2 linked regions of the Saccharomyces cerevisiae S288C genome follow. The protein of the gene in region 1 interacts with the protein of each later gene in a pairwise test. Each region holds a gene or a part of one and is shown on either strand. Other genes may lie near its edges.

Region 1 (9,844 bases):
ATTGTTGATTTCTTTCATCCATCGTTAAATATTTTCAGAATGTGGGCAGGAAGACATGCATGTTTGAAGGTGCCTATCCTAGCATCATCATAAAAGAAAACGGTAAATCATTTCCGTTTTCAAAACGTACACTACAGCCTCCAGTTGATGAAATCAGTTCTCACAATAATTCGAGGTTTAAAAGAAACAGTAAAATTTAAAAAAAACTATTCAATAGATAAATTGGTATATACGAACATTAAAAATTCCATTTAAAAATGAGATTATAATAACATGGCGGCAGCGGCCATGACACCAGCACCCATACCGATGACAGCCTTGGCAGCACCGTTTTCAGTTTGTTCGGAAACAGTGCTAGTGGCTTGAACTTGACCATCACTGATTTGAGAAATGGCGGAGGCTTTGGTGGAAGAAGCAACAGCTGAAGAAACAGCAGAGGAAGAAGCCTTAGTGGAAGAGGCAGCCTTGGTAGAGGAAGCGACGGTGGAAGAGGTAGCCTCACTGGAAGAAGCGACAGCAGAAGAAGTAGCAGCAGAAGAAGAAGCTTCACTGGAAGAAGCGACGGCAGAAGAAGTAGCTTCACTGGAGGAAGCGACGGCAGAAGAAGTAGTTTCACTGGAGGAAGCAACAGCGGAAGAAGTAGCAGCAGAAGAAGCTTCAGTAGAAGAGGCAGCGGTGGTAGAAGTTCCTAACAAGGATTCCAATTCTGGTAGAAGCCTGGAAGAATACCATGGAACCATGGTCAACATCTTGCTAACAGCAGCAAAGTCAACCTCAGAGTACAAAGTAGTGTAGGAGTCATCAGTGGCGGAAGCCAAAGCTAAACCGATGTCTAAAACACCAGATGGCAGACTGCTTAAGGAAAATCCAGATGAAGAATCTTCAGCCAAACTAATATATTCTTGCAAGTTGGACTTAACGTCATTCAAAATAACGTTCAATTCGTCAATTTCTTCCTGAGTTTGGGCAGAAGCCAAAGCAGCGATAGCAGCTAATAAAGCGATCTTGATGTAAGCCATTTTTTTGTTATAGTTGAAGCGAGTGTACGAGTGTGTTTTGTATTATTGTGCTGATAATGGCTAAACTGGAAAAGAAGATGATATGTGAGAGCTCTCATTGTTCGAATTTCGTTAACTACTTATATATTATTTTCCGTAGTTACGAAAGTTGAACATTACTTTGTTGTTTTCTTGCTTACTCGTTTACTCACATGATGCTCAGCTATTAAGATAGTTCAGTAGAACATCTTACACTAAACTTTGCACCACAATGTTGATGGTTGCTTTGGGAGATCATTACGGAAAAAAAACTCTTGGCTTTCAAGGATTCCCTGCGACCTAACTCTGCACTCCTTCTGCAAGGTACTGTTTATTTTTTTCGTGTGTCCTTTACGAGGAACGAATAAAGGCTTGAAAGGTAGTTTTAAAGATGAACTTCTTCTTTTCTTTCTTTGCCTATGATTCCTCCAGGGTTTTCTTGCCTTCTACTTTTGGACAGAAATGTCTTTTTTGGGAAATGTGAGTCTCGTTTGGGAATCTTGGCCGGCCAAGATTTTATAAAGATGTTTCTGTAGGCAACGCGCTGCTCTAAGCACCGTGGGGAGGCCATGAAATATGATTGCGCGTAGTTCCCCAACGTTACGTTTATTTTTTTCTGGGCATAAAAAAAGCCAAGACATTCCCCACTGCTTTCCTACAGGCTCTCTATTGTGTATACTTTGCGCTATTGTGTGCTTTGTTGTTGGTCCGAAGATCGCATAAGAGGCACGCCTCTTATCAATTTCTTTATAGGCGGCTACCGCCAGTGGAGTAAAATTCACGCCTTTTTTGTCCACTCCTTTTTCCGTAAATATTACATAATTAAATAGTCACAGCTCTTACGCACCTGTTTGGCCGCACATGAGAGTTAAACGCAAACTCCGCCGAGGCGTCGTTTTTCTAGCTGCTGCTTCACGTTTTATGGAGTCATATTCTGGTCTAAAAAAATTATACTAGGCAGGTAATGGATTGTTTTAAGTTTCTTGTTAACTCACATAGGATCTTTTTTGAGTACCTTGTGAAATGGTTAGATTTGATACCTTATTTTTTTCCAACATTACATTATTTTAGTATCGTTCAAGTTCTCCTTTACTTTTAGAGATTACGCCTACATTATGTATGCCGAACTTAGTAGGAACTATTTGTACGCAAAACATGAATTGTTTGTCGTGTCTGCATACATTAGTGTTGACAGTCAGAGAACTTGATTTTAAAAATAAAAGTTTCTTGTTTACAAAAAAGTATGGTCACCCGGTGTCTTTGCTATAATGGGAACAGAAAACCATTTGCAAGACTACTAAAATACGATTTTGTAATTTGACGTTACAAATATAGGGATAGTTGATAAATAGTTACGCGCAGTTAACTTTTCCTCACCAAAGGACAGTTATTTACCTACTGATTGAAAATGTTTTGGCACAGGATACCAGTTTTCAAATTTATTAATTAATTAAGGAGAAGTGAGAAATGATTAGAAAGCAATTAAGCGGTGAAGGTCTGCTTTTTATACTTACAAGAACGTATTATTAGCAGCCAACGCACTACAGTTGTTGACTAAGTTTTGTTTTAATTTGATTCGTAGTTGTTGGTCGAATTTTGTTTTGACTTGTTTTCAGTTTCTTTTTTTTTAATGCCTGACGTTGAAGAGCACGCAGGCCTATGAAAAAAAAAAATTATACGAGTTACTTGGAATTCGCTCCCATTGCACCAATTTCAGGAAGCGATCAAAAAGAAAGCAATGTTATTCAACATAACTTTATTCATACTGTAGTAACAATAACTTCATATCAATTAGGATTCACTGTTCATTGACTTATCACTACAATATGGAGGAAACGTTGCGTAATCGTTGTCGCTATAGATATTGTCCCTCCCTTCCTCTGTGATAGTTCTTCTTTATATAACTTTCACAAAAGCTTCTGCCCTCATAGTTGCCCTCAATAAACGAAAGGCCAGATGCATACAGGTGCAGTAGTACATCCAAAGAAACATAGGGGCAAAAACCGTGTTCTAATATTAGACTGCATATATCCCCTTGTCATTAGCTTAAATCATATAGAGTAATATGTACATACAGGTTATTTTATTTGTAGCTTTCCTCCTCTTTATGGAGCAAAGTAAGCCATACGAACGGTTTACAATAGAGAGCGTCGTTTGCTTACGTGATTGTCATGTGCCTTCGTAGGCAAAGGGGATTGCACACCTTTTTACTAAACAATAGAAAAGTGAGAATTCTCTTATAGGCACTGCTGCTCCTCGTTTCTTTTTACGCGCTGTCGTTCCAGGTCCTTTTTTCGATTAACTACGGTAGTTTCAAAGAGAGTGCCTGAAGATCACTCCATATACAGGCTAGATGAACTGTAAACGAGCTCATCAGCAGCGTCCCTTTCAGTGTCACTACAGCCACAGCAGCTTACCTCCTGTACGATGTGACAGAGCAAAACACAAATGTGTGTCCTTTCTACTCTTATTTTCCAACTCGAATATAAAGACGGTGCCTTTGCCTTATTTCTAAGGCACTGAACAGTTCTAAAAGTAAAGTTTTCCCTAGCCTTAGTACCGTTTCTGTGAAGCAGTTATTGAATAGTTATTGGACATAAAAATCCATATTGAAAAAAAAAAAAACATACTTGAGAAGGCATTAGCTGAATAGTAAAGACTGCTGTAATTCATCTCTCAGTCCTTGCAGTCTGCTTTTTCTGGAATTAATATGTCAATTTCAAAGTACTTCACTCCCGTTGCTGACGGGTCACTCACTTTCAATGGCGCGAACATTCAATTTGGCGCCGATGCTCAAGGCGAGTCAAAAAAGAGTTATGACGCTGAGGACAGCATGCCGAATCCGGCAAATCAACTAAATGACATAACCTTCCAAGCAGAGGCTGGTGAAATGGTTTTGGTTTTGGGTTATCCCACATCCACTCTATTTAAGACTTTGTTTCATGGTAAAACTAGTTTGTCATACTCTCCTCCAGGCTCGATTAAATTTAAAAATAATGAGTTTAAGAGCTTTTCCGAAAAATGTCCCCACCAAATCATTTACAATAATGAACAAGATGTGCATTTCCCATTTCTAACGGTAGAACAAACAATTGATTTTGCCTTGAGTTGTAAGTTCGATATTCCAAAAGGTGAGCGCGATCAAATAAGAAATGAACTTCTAAGAGAATTCGGCCTGTCTCATGTATTGAAAACTATTGTAGGAAATGATTTTTTCCGTGGTGTTTCTGGTGGTGAGCGTAAACGTATTTCTATTATTGAAACGTTTATTGCTAATGGTTCCGTTTATCTATGGGATAATTCTACTAAAGGTTTAGATTCCGCCACAGCTCTCGATTTTTTGGAAATTCTTAGAAAAATGGCAAAAGCTACTCGTTCTGTAAACTTAGTCAGAATTTCCCAGGCAAGTGATAAAATTGTTGATAAGTTTGACAAGATTCTTATGCTATCCGATTCCTACCAGCTTTTCTATGGTACGGTCGATGAGTGTTTGACTTATTTTCGTGACACTTTAGGTATTGAGAAAGATCCTAACGATTGTATTATTGAATATCTGACCTCTATCTTAAATTTTCAGTTCAAAAATAAAAATTTGGGGAATTTATCAAATTCATCATCTGCTAGCGTTCTCAAAACCGCAACAGGGGAAGTCACTAAGTATACTTATAATTCTGATTTCGATTTATATGATCAATGGAAACATTCTTCGTACTATAGAAATATAAAGCAGCAAATCCAGGGGTCTTCAATTGATGACTCCATTAAGGAAGTGGATCCCTCTGATGTCTCACCTATTTTTAATATTCCGTTGAAGAAACAATTATTATTTTGCACAAAAAGAGCTTTTCAACGAAGTTTGGGTGATAAAGCTTATATGACGGCACAATTTATTTCTGTCGTTATTCAATCTTTGGTCATTGGTTCACTGTTTTACGAAATTCCGTTGACTACCATTGGTTCATACTCAAGAGGTTCTTTAACCTTTTTCTCCATTCTTTTCTTCACTTTTCTTTCTCTTGCAGATATGCCTATTGCCTTCCAAAGACAACCCGTCGTTAAAAAGCAATCCCAACTTCACTTCTATACTAACTGGGTTGAAACCCTTTCAACAACAGTGTTCGACTACTGCTTTAAACTTTGTTTGGTAATTGTATTCAGTATCATCCTATACTTCCTTGCTCACCTGCAATACAAGGCTGCAAGATTTTTCATTTTCCTCCTGTTCCTTTCCTTTTACAATTTCTGTATGGTGTCCTTATTCGCTTTGACGACACTAGTTGCTCCAACCATTTCAGTTGCAAATTTATTTGCAGGTATTCTGCTACTAGCTATAGCAATGTATGCTTCTTACGTCATCTACCTGAAAAATATGCATCCTTGGTTTGTATGGATTGCTTATCTAAATCCTGCAATGTACGCTATGGAGGCAATACTGTCTAATGAGCTTTACAATTTGAAGCTGGATTGTAGTGAGACAATTGTTCCAAGAGGTCCTACTTACAACGATGTTCCATTTTCCCATAAGGCCTGTGCTTGGCAAGGTGCTACTCTGGGTAATGATTACGTTAGAGGCCGTGATTACTTGAAGCAAGGTTTATCCTACACGTATCATCATGTGTGGAGAAACTTTGGTATTATCATTGGTTTCCTAGTATTCTTTATTGCCTGTACTCTGTTTGCATCTCAATATATTAAGCCTTATTTCAATAAGGATGAAATAGAGCGCAACAATAGTCGTTTGACAAGATGGCTACCATTTTTGAATAAAAAGAGAGGTACCAGGTCCTCTGCAAGAAATGACAGTAAGTATGTTGGTATCCCAAAGTCGCACTCCGTTTCGTCTTCCTCGTCTAGCCTGTCGGCTGTTCCATATCAGATATCACCCTCAAATAAGGAAATGGCTCTAAACGATTATAACGAGCAACCTATCACGGAAACAGTAGAGACTCAAAAGCATATCATCTCTTGGAAAAATATCAACTACACAGTTGGTACAAAGAAACTGATTAATAATGCATCCGGTTTCATCAGTTCTGGTTTGACCGCCTTAATGGGTGAGTCCGGTGCAGGTAAAACTACTTTGCTGAATGTCTTATCACAAAGAGTTGAGACAGGTGTTGTTAGCGGCGAAATTTTGATCGATGGCCACCCATTGACAGATGAGGACGCGTTTAAGAGAAGTATTGGTTTTGTTCAACAACAGGATTTGCATCTAGATTTGCTGTCTGTGAAAGAATCTCTGGAAATATCATGTCTTTTGAGAGGTGATGGTGACAGGGCATACTTAGACACTGTTTCAAATTTACTGAAATTGCCATCTGACATTTTAGTCGCTGATTTAAACCCGACTCAAAGGAAGCTTTTATCTATCGGTGTTGAACTTGTTACTAAGCCTTCACTTTTATTATTCCTAGACGAACCAACCTCTGGGCTGGACGCTGAGGCTGCACTAACAATCGTCAAATTTTTAAAACAACTTTCTTTACAGGGTCAGGCTATTTTTTGTACCATTCATCAGCCTAGTAAAAGTGTCATCAGCCATTTTGACAATATTTTCTTATTGAAAAGGGGTGGTGAATGTGTCTTCTTTGGACCAATGGACGATGCCTGCGGCTATTTCATGTCTCATGACAACACGCTCGTTTACGATAAAGAACATGATAACCCTGCAGATTTCGTCATTGATGCAGTAGGTAACAGTAACTCCTCGGCAGGGAAAGATACAGCGGAGGAAGCTCTTACTTTGAACAAAGAAGCCATAGATTGGAGTGCATTATGGGAATCTTCTGTAGAAAAGAAACTAGTTAAAAAAGAAACAGCTAGGTTAGAAGATGATGCTCGTGCGTCTGGTGTTGATTACACAACCTCATTGTGGAAGCAGCCTTCCTACTTACAGCAATTAGCTCTTATTACAAGAAGACAATATATTTGTACGAAAAGAGACATGACTTATGTCATGGCCAAGTACTGTTTGAATGGTGGCGCTGGTTTGTTTATCGGTTTCTCATTTTGGCACATTAAGCATAATATTATCGGTTTGCAGGATAGTATCTTCTTCTGTTTCATGGCTCTTTGTGTTTCATCTCCATTGATCAATCAAATTCAGGACAAAGCCTTGAAAACAAAGGAAGTTTATGTTGCTAGGGAGGCGAGATCTAACACTTATCACTGGACTGTTCTTCTTTTGTCACAGTCAATTATTGAACTACCACTGGCACTTACAAGTTCCACACTATTTTTCGTCTGTGCCTTTTTCTCTTGTGGATTTAACAACGCTGGCTGGAGTGCCGGTGTTTTCTTTTTAAACTATATGCTTTTCGCTGCTTATTACTCGACTCTTGGTTTATGGCTGATCTATACTGCTCCTAATCTACAAACTGCTGCTGTTTTTGTTGCGTTTATTTACAGTTTTACAGCATCATTCTGTGGTGTTATGCAACCATACTCTTTGTTTCCAACTTTTTGGAAATTCATGTACAGGGTTTCGCCATACACATATTTTGTGGAAACTTTTGTTAGTATTCTATTGCATAACTGGGAAATCAAGTGTGACATGTCGGAGATGGTTCCTGGTCAACCTCTGACGGGGCAATCTTGTGGCCAATTTATGGAAGCTTTCATAGAAGAATACGGTGGCTATCTACATAATAAGAACACTTTCACAGTCTGCGCTTATTGTACGTACACTGTTGGCGATGACTTCCTGAAAAATGAGAATATGAGTTACGACCACGTTTGGAGGAACTTTGGTATTGAATGGGCTTTTGTTGGTTTCAATTTCTTTGCGATGTTTGCTGGTTACTACTTAACTTACGTGGCAAGAATATGGCCAAAGGTCTTTAAAATTATCACCAAAGTAATTCCACACAGAGGGAAGAAGCCTGTACAGAACTAATACCATTTTTAAATATATTTCTACTTTCTACTTAATAGCAATTTTAATTAATCTAATTATTTACAAGTCACCAATGACTGACTAAACAATTGAAAGAGTCCTTTGTACAACAAAAAAAAAGATACTTGTCGCTGACGCTCAAAAAATATTTATATAGCAAAAGTGCACGACAAAAAATGCTTCCAATCGGATTTGAACCGATGATCTCCACATTACTAGTGTGGCGCCTTACCAACTTGGCCATAGAAGCAGTAAACCGTTATTTTGTTGTTTCTCAGAGTGGTACACGTCAGTATGACAATACATCATCCTAAAACGTTCATATGAAACAACCTTATAACAAAACGAACAGAATGAGCAACATGACATATAACTTCGCCTCCCTTAGCTTAACCACCCAAACGTATAGACGCCTGAGCAATTAATTTAGATCCGAGGTTCGGCGCTTCCACCAATTAATATGATCCATATTTTATATAATATATAGGATAAGTAACATCCCATGAAAAGCTGATAATCCGTTCTGACAACTGGTTACTTCCATTGACTGTTTATATTGGGATTTTCAAGACACCCCGGTATTACTCGTACCCGTAAAACAACATACACTTCGTCATGACTGAGAAGAATATAGGAGTAAAAAGAATACCTGAACTAACAGATATAATCAGCATCATGTTTTTTAAGCGAGAATACAGAAATATTCAAATTAAGATAGGCAACAAGGATTAGTTTAAATCTGAAAATCTTTTAAGATTAGGTACCTAATTTAGCTATATTGCTTTATGATTAGTTATAACGTCATTGGAGGAACAAACTATTGGAATAAGAATCGACTATAATCTACCGGCGAGTATTCATAAGCTATTATATTGTGGTAGACGGAGTAGAAAGATAAAAAAGGATTGAAAACAGTCATCTGATTTAATGGAAGCTGAAATGCAAGATTTAATAATGTAATAGGATAATGAATGACAACATAAAAAATAGAAGAAATAATAATAGTAACATTATGTGGAAATATGGGTTTCCTTGGCAGGTTCCTATATCCTTGAGAAAGAGCTTCTAATATATTTTGTATATTTAGTATTATAACTAAGCTGTTAGAAAATAAAATACCGCTAAATCAATTGAGGCGGTATTAAATACCTGTACATTTGAATATTTGGAATGAGAAAGAAATATAGTTACATAATGTACAAAAAAGAAGCAAGAAAGGAATATATATATATATATATATATATATATATATGTATATTGTTATTTAGAATATCTCTCTCTCTTCGAGAATCTCTATATCCTCGAAAAGAACTTTTAGCATATTCACGATAGGTCGTATTATCAATTAAATCAATTACGAAGTTCGGAAGTTATTGCCTACATAATATGATGTCCTGTTCATAAAAATAGAGCCCTAAGAAGTGTTATTAAATTTAACCAGCCTACAAATTAAATATAAAATGAGTGTTATTGTTCCACCGACTTGAATAATTGTACAACTTTAGCTAACATTTTAACTAATATTTTAACGCATCTTATTATCAAGTATTGTAACAATACGTATCATCTTACTATCTCAATGGAAGCATTCTCTTATACATACTGAGTCAAATATCTTGAAGACTCATTATAATGTGTAATAAAAGGACAAAGCAGCGTAGAAGCCTTAAATAACTATGCACTTGGACACATGTCTTCTCACGACGTGTTCAAATATAATGATTTTTCAATCAGCTTTGAAGTTCAATACAAACTTCTTCACTAAAGGATAATAAGCAATCATTATTAATGGCAAAATCGGTTTTCAATTTCTTTCATTTTGAAATATTGGAGTATTTAAACCGTTTTGTGTATCATTCACAATACTTTCTTCCATACTACTGCTCTCTTGAAGTTCTTGGGAAGAGCCGAA
Region 2 (5,836 bases), on another chromosome or scaffold:
ACCAGAAAATCAACAACGTGTCCCAATCATTACAATTGTGAAGTGCGGTACTCCTGCAGAGCAGGGGGCCGCCAAACCCGGTAACAGAGGTAAGCGTGATTCTCAAATTATTCTGATGTCCTTTTTAGAAAAAATAACATTTGATGAAAGAATGACTCAATTGGAATTTCAGCTTTTAAAAAATATTTGGCAGATTACGGGGCTAATGGCAGACTTCTACGAAACGGTACTTATGGTTGATGCTGATACTAAAGTCTTTCCCGATGCTTTAACTCATATGGTCGCTGAAATGGTTAAAGATCCTTTGATTATGGGTCTTTGTGGTGAGACCAAGATCGCTAATAAGGCACAATCTTGGGTAACTGCAATTCAAGTGTTTGAGTACTATATTTCGCATCATCAGGCTAAAGCTTTTGAATCTGTCTTCGGTTCGGTAACTTGTTTGCCGGGATGTTTCTCAATGTATCGTATAAAATCTCCTAAAGGTTCAGATGGTTATTGGGTACCTGTATTGGCAAATCCAGATATTGTTGAAAGATATTCGGATAATGTTACAAACACTTTGCATAAGAAGAACTTATTATTACTTGGTGAAGATAGATTTTTATCTTCATTAATGTTAAAGACTTTCCCTAAGAGAAAGCAAGTATTTGTTCCAAAAGCTGCTTGTAAAACTATTGCCCCTGATAAATTCAAAGTCTTACTTTCCCAGCGTCGAAGATGGATTAATTCTACGGTACATAACCTTTTTGAATTAGTTCTAATCAGAGACTTATGTGGCACTTTCTGTTTTTCCATGCAATTTGTGATTGGTATTGAATTGATTGGTACTATGGTACTGCCGTTAGCCATTTGCTTTACTATTTATGTCATTATTTTTGCCATTGTATCAAAACCTACACCCGTAATCACTTTAGTTTTACTGGCAATTATTCTTGGTCTGCCCGGCTTAATTGTTGTTATAACTGCTACGAGATGGTCGTACCTATGGTGGATGTGCGTATATATTTGTGCTTTGCCTATTTGGAATTTCGTACTACCTTCATATGCGTACTGGAAATTTGATGACTTCTCATGGGGTGATACGAGAACTATTGCGGGAGGTAATAAAAAGGCACAAGACGAGAATGAAGGTGAATTTGATCACTCAAAGATTAAAATGAGGACATGGAGGGAATTTGAAAGGGAAGATATTCTCAATCGGAAGGAGGAAAGTGACTCCTTCGTTGCATAGACAGTATGAAAATATTTTTACTGTGATACTTACAAGTTGATATATGGTTGTGTGTAACTTATTTATTTGAGAGGTATTTTAACACACCTTAGAACTAAAACTTAATAAATAAATATTTCTCTATCTTTAAAGGCACATATTACGTGGCTAAGGCAATTACAGCTGATATACTGTAAAACTCATGTCGCCACTAAATTCTTCTAACACGCGTTCTGTCTCTTTCCAAGGGACTCCGAATATGCCACTATTTATCTGTGGCATTTCCAATTTATATTCCCCTATTGGGTATTTGATGTGGCCGTTTAAATAGTCACCGATTGAATCTTCACTTGTTCGAGTTTTGTCTTTTGCTTCTCTAAAGGTCTTCAATTTATCTAAAGCAAGTTTTGTATAATTCAAAATACTTTGCTTTTCTCCATGACTTGAACCTCCAAATGATGATGTAAACAAGCAACAAATCAGCAGATCTGAGTTTTCGTAACTGGGAAGTAATATGCATTTGCCTAGTAAATTAGAACCATACTTTTCGCATACTTCAACGTAATCTTTCTCTGCTTTTGGGTAGCGCAAAGCAAGTTGATAAGCGATCCCACCACCCCACGAGCCATTGCAGTTGCAAGAATGGATGAGGATCCTAGCATATGACTTTGGTTTTAAGATGTTACCTTTGACATAAGTGATGTTCGACATACCTGTAACTTGATGCTATATTTATCTTGGAGAAGATACTAATAAACTCAAACTTTTCGTGTAGAAATCTGGGCTTCAAGTTCGCATAGCATAACGAATCGTAAAGTTATGCATATGGCATAATACAACAATTATCCATTTTTTCTCGTGTGTAAAAAGAGAAAGGAGAGAGGAAAGAACGCTAAGCCATAAAGCAAACAAAAAATCGAATGAAAGTGAGTGAATATATTAAAACCAGTGAAATTAATGCTCATTGAAGGCCAAATGCACAAAGTAAATGCTAAAGAGAACGTAAATAGAAGTAAGTAGTATAGATAAGGATTAATATCATTACACATGAAAATTTGAAAAATATTTCAGATTAATGCAGAAAGTGATGTAGATATGGAGAGCTTAAATGAAAGTCTTTTCGTGTTCGTGTTCGTAGACACTAATATTGTCATCTACCAGGTCATCCCTCTCAATTGTGTCTTTCCACTCTTCTTCAAAATCATCGACATTGGCCCATCTTTGGAACCAGCCCTTGTCCTTTATAATGTTGTTAACAGGGCACCCAGGTACAGGGAAGAAGTAACACAGAGCAGTATAAGAAGAAAAACTCAAGCCATATCCTACCCAGTAACTTAGGTAATATAGTTTCATAGCTCCATCAGAAACCTTTATAGCGGGAGCGCCCACCTCCGCGATGAAACCGGGCAAGCAAGGAGCCACCCCACATAGATATGCAGCCAAAGCTCTCCAATTGATACCAAACCTGTTTCCGTACATATAAAAAGAGCCCTTTTGATGGGAATATATGTGTGTTAGCTTGATATATCCTCTTCTAACAACAAAGTAATCTGAGCAGACAACACCGGCAATACTGGACAAAAAGATAGCATATGCGGACAAAGCCATTGTAAATTTACTTGATGTTGCCATTAAATTCCATGGACAAATACACAGCGCCATGGCTGCACAAAATAATGAACCACGCTTGATATTGATAAACTTGGGGAAAATAGCGGACATATCAGTTCCACACGATAATGAGTTTGCAGAAATATTAGTACCTAACTGAGCTACGGCGAAAACAAAAGAGATTAAGAAAACACCAGCTCTTGTGCCCTTATTATAAGTAGTCTGTAAAAATTTTTCTAGCACATCGAGTGGCGACCAGTAATTAATACCGTATATTTCATAACCAGCTGCGGTGACTAGAATTCCAATTAAACAAGTGATGGAAAACAAAAATGGAATGCACACTAATTGGGACCATAAAGCGGAGTTAGGGTTTTTTGAAAATCTAGAGAAATCTGGAGCGTTGATTACCATTGTGGAGAAATTAGCCATACAACCCATTAGTGATCTTAGAAAAGCCCACGAAAAGGCAGAGCCATGAGGTTGTACATCGGTTAAAGATCCTAAGGCAATACGCCCGTGAGCTCTTCTGATAGCCCAAATTAAGAAACCAAAAGAAGCAAACGGAACCAAGACGGCTTTAACAGTAAACAGGTGTCTAATTTTGTGAGGTGGAACCAGTAAAAATGGAAGACTGGCAGCCCAAAAGATAAAAAAACACATGAACTCGTAAGTAGTAGCATTCGGTGATCCAAAGTGATCTGGGATTTTGTCTTGTAAATCTTTTCCAAAGATAGATTTCAGCATTAATGATACGGGAGTTGCCGCAATATAAGCTTGGACACTATACCAAACGATGGCCATGACGACTCTGTTAATAACGGGCCATAAAGAGAAGAAAATACCGAATGATGCTCTAGATGATATAGGGAATGACAAATGATAAGCAGATCCAACTCTAGAGGCCAAAACAACAAAAGCACCAACGAAACCGTACCCAATCCAAATTGTTATCCAACACTGCCACCAATTTAGACCCAGTTGTAGACCTGTAGCTGCAATTTGCCAAGTGTTGATATTGAAACATTCAGCAAGCCAGAAGTAACAATAATTGTACCAGGACCAAACCCGCCTTTCTTTTTCGACGGGCTTCAAGTCCTGGTTGTACATAAATGAATCCAGAATAGAAACACCCAAGATTGATTTGTCAACGACCACATATTCATAATAGATTTTCTTCCAGAATGAGCTGTATTGAGGTTTTTCTGAGCTTACTTTTTCTTCAAAGCTCGATGCCTCATAAACTTCGGTAGTTATATTACTCTGAGATGACTTATACTCTTTTTCCAAATCCACATTATTTGGCGCAAAGGTCTCATTGGAAGATTCCATAAGTTGGCGAGAGTTCAATCTTTTTGAAGAGCCGCTTAAATGTAATGATAGATTGTCTGGCATTATTCCCTCCTATTCTTATTATGCGTAGGAATGTCTTCGAACCGAAAGATCTTCTCTATGGGGTATGCTTTAGAGTGAAATTAAGAAAGGAGTTTTATACAGATGATACCTAATCATCATATAAGTAAGAGAGAACAGAGATTTAATGGAAAATGGAAAAGGGCAAATTGGCGCTGAATCAAATAGTTTATTATATCTTTACAATTTGTCCTGATTTTGTCCTTGTCTAACTTGAAAATTTTTCATTCTGATGTCATACGACTTTTTTCCGGTCTAGGAAATCGGTGAAAGCTTTTTTTTTTTCCTATCTTCTTGTCCATCGGAATTTTTCTGTCATTTCTTTTCCTCCTCGCGCTTGTCTACTAAAATCTGAATTGTCCAAATTCAGTACAAAATTAATCAGTAGGACAAAGGGTTCTCGTAGAGTCCCCGGAAAAAAAAAAGGACAAAAAGTTTCAAGACGGCAATCTCTTTTTACTGCATCTCGTCAGTTGGCAACTTGCCAAGAACTTCGCAAATGACTTTGACATATGATAAGACGTCAACTGCCCCACGTACAATAACAAAATGGTAGTCATATCATGTCAAGAATAGGTATCCAAAACGCAGCGGTTGAAAGCATATCAAGAATTTTGTCCCTGTGTTTTAAAGTTTGTGGATAATCGAAATCTCTTACATTGAAAACATTATCATACAATCATTTATTAAGTAGTTGAAGCATGTATGAACTATAAAAGTGTTACTACTCGTTATTATTGCGTATTTTGTGATGCTAAAGTTATGAGTAGAAAAAAATGAGAAGTTGTTCTGAACAAAGTAAAAAAAAGAAGTATACTTATAATTCATATAGACAGCTGCCCAATGCTGGTTTAGAGACGATGATAGCATTTTCTAGCTCAGCATCAGTGATCTTAGGGTACTTGACCTTGTAGAACTCATTGGCAAGGGCTTCTTTTACCTTTTCTATGTTGCCATTTGGGCCCCCTGGAACCAAGTGAACAGTACAACCACCCCAGCCAGCTCCGGTCAAACGGGAACCATATGATCCATTTGACAAAGCAATGGAACAAATTTTGTCAATCTCTGGACAAGAACATTCGTAAAGTTTATCGCAAGAAGCTTGAGACTCGTTCATCAAGGCACCAAATTGCTTGAAAAAGTCTTCGTCGGCAGTAAAGCTCGCTGTAGTCATTAATTTCACAGCCTTCAAGACTCTTAAAGATTCAGAATACACATGCTTAGCCCTCTGATATAGCTTTAAGACTTGAAATCTCACTGGAGATGTTGTTAAGTAGTCTCTTGTGAATTCTTCGCGAGAACAATTCAAGGATTGTGCGACATCGTCAACACTAAAGCCCTGTTTCTTATTGGCGAGAGACTCTTCAACTAGTACTAGCATCTTTGTTAACCGTTCGATGCCGGATTCAATATCGCCGTTCCAGGGTGTGGAAATGTTGTGATATCTGGCATAATAAACGTTCATGAAATCTCTTAGATTACCTTTATTCGTGCTCGATCCTTCTTTTCCAGAAAGTAAAACAACACCGTACGTGGCAGCTAAAACATTTGCAGCTGTAGTGACTTCTACCACTCTTAAATTATAGTTGGTTGGGGCGG

The links.
Region 2: the proteins of AUS1 (region 1) and FUR4 interact in a protein complementation assay, tested with the Saccharomyces cerevisiae proteins (one study listed by BioGRID).

What each region holds. Positions count from the first base shown.
Region 1 is NC_001147.6:345,932-355,775, forward strand, and holds AUS1 (ATP-binding cassette sterol transporter AUS1), read left to right. Parts: upstream 1-3,747; coding exon 3,748-7,932; downstream 7,933-9,844. Other genes in the region: TIR2 (putative GPI-anchored mannoprotein), read right to left, coding at 264-1,019; YOR011W-A (uncharacterized protein), read left to right, coding at 9,721-9,844. UniProt on the Saccharomyces cerevisiae protein: Transporter involved in the uptake of sterol.
Region 2 is NC_001134.8:279,826-285,661, reverse strand, and holds FUR4 (uracil permease), read right to left. Parts: upstream 4,220-5,836; coding exon 2,318-4,219; downstream 1-2,317. Other genes in the region: chitin synthase CHS3, read left to right, coding at 1-1,234; POA1 (ADP-ribose 1''-phosphate phosphatase), read right to left, coding at 1,391-1,924; GAL1 (galactokinase), read right to left, coding at 5,055-5,836. UniProt on the Saccharomyces cerevisiae protein: Transport of uracil.